Linked DNA regions of Danio rerio. The protein of the gene in region 2 purifies or fractionates together with the protein of the main gene of each other region. This does not show direct contact. Links are inferred from orthologs where the notes say so. Each region holds a gene or a part of one and is shown on either strand. Other genes may lie near its edges.

The links.
Region 1: the proteins of gngt2a (region 2) and gnb2 purify together in Homo sapiens (affinity purification with western blotting; 3 studies listed by BioGRID and IntAct, with this or other methods). This does not show direct contact. The link is inferred for Danio rerio from reciprocal best matches to the Homo sapiens genes GNGT2 and GNB2.

Annotation. Positions count from the first base shown.
Region 1 is NC_133180.1:39,184,440-39,188,273, reverse strand, and holds part of gnb2 (guanine nucleotide-binding protein G(I)/G(S)/G(T) subunit beta-2), read right to left. Parts: intron 2,688-3,834; coding exon 2,649-2,687; intron 2,570-2,648; coding exon 2,463-2,569; intron 1-2,462. UniProt on the Homo sapiens protein: Guanine nucleotide-binding proteins (G proteins) are involved as a modulator or transducer in various transmembrane signaling systems.
Region 2 is NC_133178.1:21,838,027-21,842,498, forward strand, and holds the start of gngt2a (guanine nucleotide-binding protein G(I)/G(S)/G(O) subunit gamma-T2a), read left to right. Parts: upstream 1-1,633; 5' UTR 1,634-1,777; intron 1,778-4,373; exon of another isoform or gene 4,374-4,387; 5' UTR 4,388-4,393; coding exon 4,394-4,472. UniProt on the Homo sapiens protein: Guanine nucleotide-binding proteins (G proteins) are involved as a modulator or transducer in various transmembrane signaling systems.

The DNA.
Region 1 (3,834 bases), on a different chromosome or scaffold from region 2:
CTAATAAATGTTTAAAACCACTTGAGGGCGAGCAATCATTGAGTAAACGTTCATTTTTATGTGAACTATCCATTTTAGGTTAATGTTTTAATGACAAATGTAACAAAAACATAAAGTTATCCTTTCATACTTCCATAATGAGATTGTAATACACTTCTTGTCTTCATTTTTGTCATTATGCGACAGGAGAACTCAGACAATTCAAACATTTGGCTTCCTGAGATTTCTAAATTATCATAAGGAATTAAGGGGAATCATTTTGTTTTGTTTGTACACCATCTTTAGTTTCTTCAGAATGTCAGTAACTGTTCACTTCTGATTTATGAATCACCAAGAACCAGAGTTTCAGCTGAAGATATTCTTAAATGTTCTAAGACTCTAAGTGCGTCCCAAATCCCATACTTCTGCACTATTCCAGGGGCTCTCAACCTTTTTCACATTGAGGCCCACTTTTTTCTCCGAAAATTTTTGCAAGGCCTAAACTGACTGTCTTTATTTTAAAGCTTTATTTATTAGCAAAACATTTCTTTTGCCTTTTATCATTCCCTTATTTTATAAAAAAAAAAAAAACATTGTCCATTTGTATGTGTGTGTGTTTACTGTATGTATGTATGTATGTATGTATGTATGTATGTATGTATGTATGTGTGTGTGTGTGTGTGTGTGTGTGTGTGTGTGTGTGTGTGTGTGTGTGTGTGTGTGTGTGTGTGTGTGTGTGTGTGTGTGTGTGTGTGTGTGTGTGTGTGTGTGTGTGTGTGTATGTATGTGTATGTATATGTATGTATATATATATATATACTATTTCTTTTTTAAATATAATATAAAATATAATAATATAGATTTTAATATTTTTTTAAATGCTCAGACCGGTTCAAAGCTCCTGAATTTTTAATTCAGTTATTCTTTACAACTGCAGAGTATTTGGGCCTTTTCTTCAGTAAAGGAACCTGACAGGACTACATGAGATGGCAAAAACGCTGCTGCTGCTTTGAATCAGACTAATTTCTATTCATCTATTGATCTATAGCCATTAAAATAAACAACCTAACCATAACCCTACATGTAAAATACATTTAAAAAAATTCAATCTGTTGAAACATTGATCTGAAGGTGGTTTGGTTTGTAGCTGGATGTTGAACAGTGAACAGCTGTTCACTACTGAAGCACCACCGAGTTACCGCTCCTGTACGGTGGCGCGTCAGTTATAAAACACCCCCAAGATGTTAACTTGGACAACTATGCAGATATTTTGAATTGTTCACAAAGACAGAGCATGCATAGTTTGTGAATTAACGGACTGGTGCAATTCTGAAACAGTATGAGTCGCAGACATGAGGCACGCGCGAGCTGGGTTTAATAACTGTCATCTTTGTTACCTTTACCATTGTGTGACTGAGTTTGAATTATGTTCAATCACAGAAAACGGGAAATGGCATTACTACTATCATTTTTATATGACCTGTTTAATAATGAAATTAAATAATTAAAGTATAATATTTAGGTAAATTCTAATTATCTCACGGCCCACCTGCAGGATCACTGAGGCCCACTAATAGGCTGCGGCCCACCGGTTGAGAATCCCTGCACTATTCTACACCATTTTGTTGTATAAACAGTGTAAATAGTTTGTAATTACACTGATGATGCCCTTATCCAACCGGTAAACAGGAGTGTGGAATGTTGGACACTTCAAGCACTCAGCTGCAGCTTTGCTTACGTAGCGGAAGGGACACAGCATCGGGCACTGATGTTGGATTACTTTATTTATTTTAGATTGTGAAAGCAAAATTTTCCTATGAAAGTGCTTATAGCACCTCCCGAGTCCTGATGGTGATTGTGGTTCTACACATGGCAAGTATTCTTAGGTAGTTTGGTCATTTATTTCACTAATTTGGCAACGTTTGAATATCTGTTTAGTTTTAAAAAACCATTAGTGTTCCCTTTGGGAACACACTACATTCATATGATATGCTGTTGAGTGTGTAAGTGCTTAAGTACATAGAGTATAGTATGCCATTTAGGACGCTGCTCATGTCTGATGTTCTCCATCTTGGATGACCTGACTCGGGTGAGTATTTATTTTAATTACTATTATTCATTATTATTATTATTTCTACAGTATACATCTTTAACATTCACATTTTCATGTCAATCATGAAAATCAACTGTACATGCACTATTCCCAAGTCCACACAGACACAAAAACAAAGTCTTTAAAGAAAGTCATTTCAATTATGACTGTAGTGTGGGCTAAGATGATTAACTAACAAAGATAGTTTGCAGGTCAGTGTGTCCTGTTCATTGCATTGCATACTGTGCCAACAACATGTGCAAAACAAAAACCCAAGTCACGAGCCACTGAATCATACTCTTCTGCTACTTTTACATTTTTGCTTGTCTTTGATGCCAGGTGTGTTTGTGAACCGATGCAGGAGATATGAGAAGACAGCGGACAGACGTACCTGGAGTCTGTGCCCCAGTGCATGGCGTAGATTTTCGCCAAATGGCCCCGCAGTGTGCGCCTCGTCCTCATCTGTATCCTCCCCACTGGGTCCAGACCTGCTGTTATCTACCACACGCACAAACACTACATGAGTGCAATGCCACAGACCTCTGGAGGATTACACATACATCTAATTTCATCTCACCTGTGTAAGTGTGGAGTCTCCGCATGCTTTCCTGGCATCCTGAGGGACAGAAGACAAGGTTAACCAAATCACTGTACTGTCACTATTTGAACGTGGAGGTAAGGCCTGTTTCTAAAGTAGGCAAAATATCCCAGTACTAATGGAAGCCAATATGGCATTTTAAAAAATTTGTTTACAGCAGTGGTTCTCAAAGTAGGGGTCGTGGGACAATGAGGGGAGGGGGTCGCTTGGTGATTTAAAAAAAAATCTCATATATTTTATTAAACTATTATTATTATCATATTTTAGCAATTATTATATTTTATTTGTGACCCCTGGGGTTATTATGCTAGATTCACATCACAGCAATAGCGTTAGAGCAGTAGATTGATTTTACGGTACAATATTAAACTTTGACACCTTTCTGGCACTCACATACATTAAAAATTAAGGCCACGACAGAACAAGGAGGATGATCTCCAACTCTCCAAAATTAAAGCAAGAATAGTCTTTTCATATAAATATGATGCTCACCATTCTTATTAAGTGAGGTTAATATTAAATTAAACAAATCAATAATGATTGTAAAAAAGATATCGTTGTAGGACTGTGTTTTTGTGTTGTCAATATGCTTATGTTTATATCGTTTCTATTAGTGTGTGTGCACCATTGTGTGCAATATTTGTATGCTTATAACCACCTCTGAGCATAATAGGGGTCGCAAGCCCGTGGAGTTGTTATTTTAGGGGTTGCGGGCTGAAAAGTTTGAGTACCCCTGGTTTACAGGGCCCAAACATCTCTAAAACCACAATCCTGAATAAGCTTATGGCTTTGATTAAGAACTTTGGTGCCATACCATGGCTTCAGCAGGTACAATGATGGTACGCAACGCCTGAAAAAAGTCCCAAGCTAGGTTACAATTTCACTGCGCCTGCTGCATCTATGGTACAGCACCAAAGTTCCTTATAAAGACATATCAACCTAGAAAATAGCAACTTTTCATGTTTTTCCCCTGTGCTTTAAATAGGAAAATTATCAAAACTCTGTTTTGAAATTTTTTAGATGCTAATGGTCTAATCCAATTTAATTATTTATGCTAAGCTAAGCTAAAAGTGCTCACATCAGACCCGGAGATTGGATGAATAGATTAAAAAATGGTAAAACTCAACTGTTAGGGAAGTTGTAAAATGAGGCTACTTCAAAATAA
Region 2 (4,472 bases):
AAACCCCAAAAGTAGATGAACCCTGCCGCTTCCTATTAGGAGTCAATGGTGTTGTCGGAGATTTGAGTGGTGATTGTTTTTTGTTTGTTTGTTTTTTTTACATCCTAAATGGGCGATTTTAGGATTTTCATATATACAAAGCCTAATATTACATTTATAAGTAGTGATTTAATAGTAATACACTTAAAATGTCTGTTTAATATGGGTTGTATACTAGTATCCCACTGTATTGCATAGACCAGCATATTTGAGTTCTGAATAAGCCAAATAGGCTCAACCCACCTGTTTACTGTAGTAAAACACTTTCCATATTCAAGTGCATTTTTTTGTTTCCATGTATTAAATAAATAAACTGCCACTTTTCTAATTAAATGCCACACATAAATATATGTTTTTAAACTTACAGACAAATTCACATATTTCACGATCTGAATGATGATAATAGATAAGAAGTGTTTTTTAATACTAGACAACACTTGATGTTTCTTTCTCTGTCAGTGACTCAGTGACAGTTAAAACGAGTACATTCTCTAAGTGGTTCTGTCACTGTGTTTGATCCTTTCTGTGCACGACTGTATGGTATCGTTAATAATAAAAATTTCTACAAGTTTGGAACAAATTGAGGGTGAGGATTTTAATTTCTAATATAATTAACTTTTTAATAAAAGTCTTTTTAACGTAGAAAATGTGCAATGTATACACTTGAATGTTAAGTAAATACTGTGTACATGTATATATATATTTACATAATTTATTTACATTTGCACTTCTTTCCTGGTATTAAAATAAATGCATAAAATTTGTTTGCTCTGACCACAAAACCAGTCTTATGTTGCACAGGTACATTTTTGGCATTAAATAAAATATAGATTTTATGGATACAAAAATATTGTATTGGAAATTATTATCATTATAAATTGATTTATTTATCATGTTTCATGAAGATATTTTTTAAATGTGCTACTATAAGTATATCAAAACTAAATGGTTAATTGGTAATAAGCATTGCTAAAAAGATGTCTTCTCAATATTTTGATGTTTTTTAATCCTCAGATTCCAGATTTTCAAATAGTTATATATCAGCCAAATGTTGTACTATACTAATAAACCATATATCAATGGAAACCCGATGTATAAAAAAAGAAAGAGACCCTTATAATTGGTTTTATGGTACAGGGTCACATAATTATTATACAATTCATTAATCCCATTCATCCTACAGTCATTAAAAATCTCCATATCAGTCTGCTTGAAAGGGTTTTAACAGGCTGATTGACTTGTTTATAAGATGCCTCACACATGCAGTCAGTCAAGTCTAGGCCATCTGCTTCTTAAAACAGAGCCACTCACCTAAAGTCTACAGAGGTATGTTATTGTCTTTGAGTTGACATATTGACCTTTAACATGTACAGAAATGTCCTCTAAAGAAAATCCACAGTTTTCCATGACAAAAGATTTTACATAAAAGCAAATCTGGTAAAAAAGAACAGCCAGTACAAACTGGCATGTAAACCACTCTGTCCTGCTTCAGGGTGATTTGACCTCCTTAATTACCAAGATGACTTAAGCTGATCAGAAATCTGGATGAAGGAAGTGTGTTTGTTGGGGATCAGTCTCCACCCCCACTTCACCTCTGACCATCTGGAGAAGATCCTGAAGAGACAACAGCATCAACCCCAAGAGCTCAGTTCATCGCCAGACCACAAACCCTACGCATGGTCCCTTAAAGTGCAGATAGTGACCTGTTGCCTCCATCGGCTGACCCACTGACCAATAGGTAAGCGAAACATAACAGTGCTCTTGTCATACTATTTGTATACCAATATAATAGTTATACACCAAGAAAAGTAGCCTTGTGATAGTAAACATGTAACTAATGCTATGTTATGAATGCCATCAAATTGAATTGCAACTTATTCATGGTAAAACTGATTTATCATTGTTAATCACATTAGTATGCTTTTCCATGCTAAATGTGCTGAGTTACAGTACATGTTTAAACATTATGCTTACCTGGGAAATGCTAATGGTCACCTGCGTCATTTTAAGTGACATCCCAGCTAACAATTTTGTGTTTTATAGATGTCTAATAGACATCTAAACATAGAAAGTTTGGCTTAGACAAGGCTAATCTTGGGCTGTCTGTGAAACATCTAAAAATAGCCCAAAACTATACTAGTCGTCAAATAGATAGACTTTATATGTGTAGTCATTCGTTTCTGGTCTAGTCTAGTTTTGGCCTATTTTAAGAGGTCTATTACTTTTCACTGACAGCCCTAATTTAGTTTTGTTTCAGCCAAGATGGCCATGTTCAGACGTCTATTAGACATCTATTATACATCTTTTAGAGACAAAAATGCTTGCTGGATAGTCAAGAACACTTTGTAGACTCTTAATATTTAGGCCTTGTTCTTGGTGATGTAAGTTAGATGGCAAGTTTGTGCACTTAGGAGTTTTGTTCCCTTAGAAGTAAAATAAAATATCCTACTGGACTACAACATGCTTATAATTAATTTTTTGCCCTTGGTCAAAGGAATAGTTCACCCAAAAATGTAAATTCTCTCTTTGTTGACTCAATATTATAGTTCATAAGGGTTTCTTTTTTTTCTGATGAACACAAGGTATGTTATTTTGAAGATTGTTAGAAAGCAGCAGCCATTTAATTCATGACCTACAGTACTATGGATGTCAATGGCTGCTGGTTTCTTCAGAATATCTTGTTTTGTTCTCAACAGATTAAAGAAATTCATGAGTGAATGGTATGGAAATTGTATTTCTTGGATGAATTATCAATTTAAGGAACGTTTTACACTTGTATGAAGTATGGTTAACATCCCGTAATATTAAGCAACCAGGAAACAGAACTGTGCGCACATCTAGAATTGTCAAAGACTAGTCTTTAGCTCTCAATTTTTTTAATCTAACAACGTTTCAACCTACATGGTCCTTATAAGGTTAACCGTATGAAGACCACGCTGGTCGAAACTTTACATTAACGTTTTTTTGAGAGCTAAAGTGGCAGTGCCGATTTTCTCATTACCTTTTTAACATCCCTTTTCACCCAGGGTTATGAAACGTTTTGCTCCATTAACACCACATTGCAGTGAAATTTGTACAGTGTGAAGTGATGTGATATGGCTAGATGTTTAACAATTGAGACCGAATCTTGAGCCTCAAATTTACATAATTTGGACAGTCATGGAAACACTGTGCACTGCATTTGAACTATTGTCTCAGTGTTTAAGGAAAGATTGTTATATGGTGATAGAAAAGGCATCAATTGGAGTAGGGAAAAGATTAACTCAGTTTTAACTTTGTGGTCTAAAAAGTCCATTCAGGGGAAACTTGATAGTGTGGTTTACAATATTTATGGATGCCAAATGATATATAGTAGCTGCTTTGAAATCAGAGATGCTCTAGATTGTGTTGCAGTCATCCAAACATTGATAAAACATCTAACAATATAAAAACAAGGATATTAACCCAGAAATGTATTCTCTTTTTGTTTTTTGGTGCTGTGCAAAGAACTGAAAAAAAAATAATAAATTTAATCTGTTGATAATATATCTGCAAATGTCAGAAGTGTTAAAAGAAACAAAAGTTGTTGGTGTCATAGTGACTTTTAGTGTTTATTTTACCCAGCATCTGCAGACAAACTTGTGACGAAGAATGCTTTTGCAGTATTGCAAAAAATTGTAGTTCAAGGTTATAAAATGGACAGTTCAGCTATGAATGAAAATGTTGGCATTATTTATATATCTTCCATGTGTTTGAACTTTCTTGTTGTTGCTAATGCTGAAGACAAAGGAAGATATTCTGAAGAATTAAAAGAAAAACCGCTGTAGACTTTCATACCATTTTTTTATGTTTTTTTCCCAACACTCCATTGTTTTCAACAGAAGAAATTAATAAAAGTTTAGAGTAAATATTAAGGAAGTTTTTGTTTTTAGGCGAACAATCCTTTTAAGCACCATTATATACCCTAACTTTATGGGTAACAGGTTTAATTGTTCAGTTATGAAAAAACTAAAAAAAAAAAAAAAAAAAAAAAAAAATCTGTCTGTTTACAACAAAAAAAGAGCCATCACTTTACTCTGTAAACTGTATTGTGGCCGTTTTTTTTCCCTAATTAATTTGTATTGCACAAAATATGTTGAACCTGTTCTGCTCCCCTCTGAACAATTAAATAGTTAATTAGACAGTTGTCCCATTGTCCCATGTGTTATACATCTTTAAAATGACTGTAACTTGCCGTGCTGAACAATATTTTACATCCTTTTTTTCTTTTTCTTTTTCTTTTTTTTTTTTTTTTTTTTTTTTTAAGATATTTGTAAATGTACAATGTGTGTGGTTTAACATGAGTGTGACTGCAGCTTTCTTTCCTCAGGGCAAGATGGCCCGGGATATGTCCGATAAGGATATCCTGAAAATGGAGCTGGAACAGCTGCAGAAGGAGGCAAAAAACACCAGAG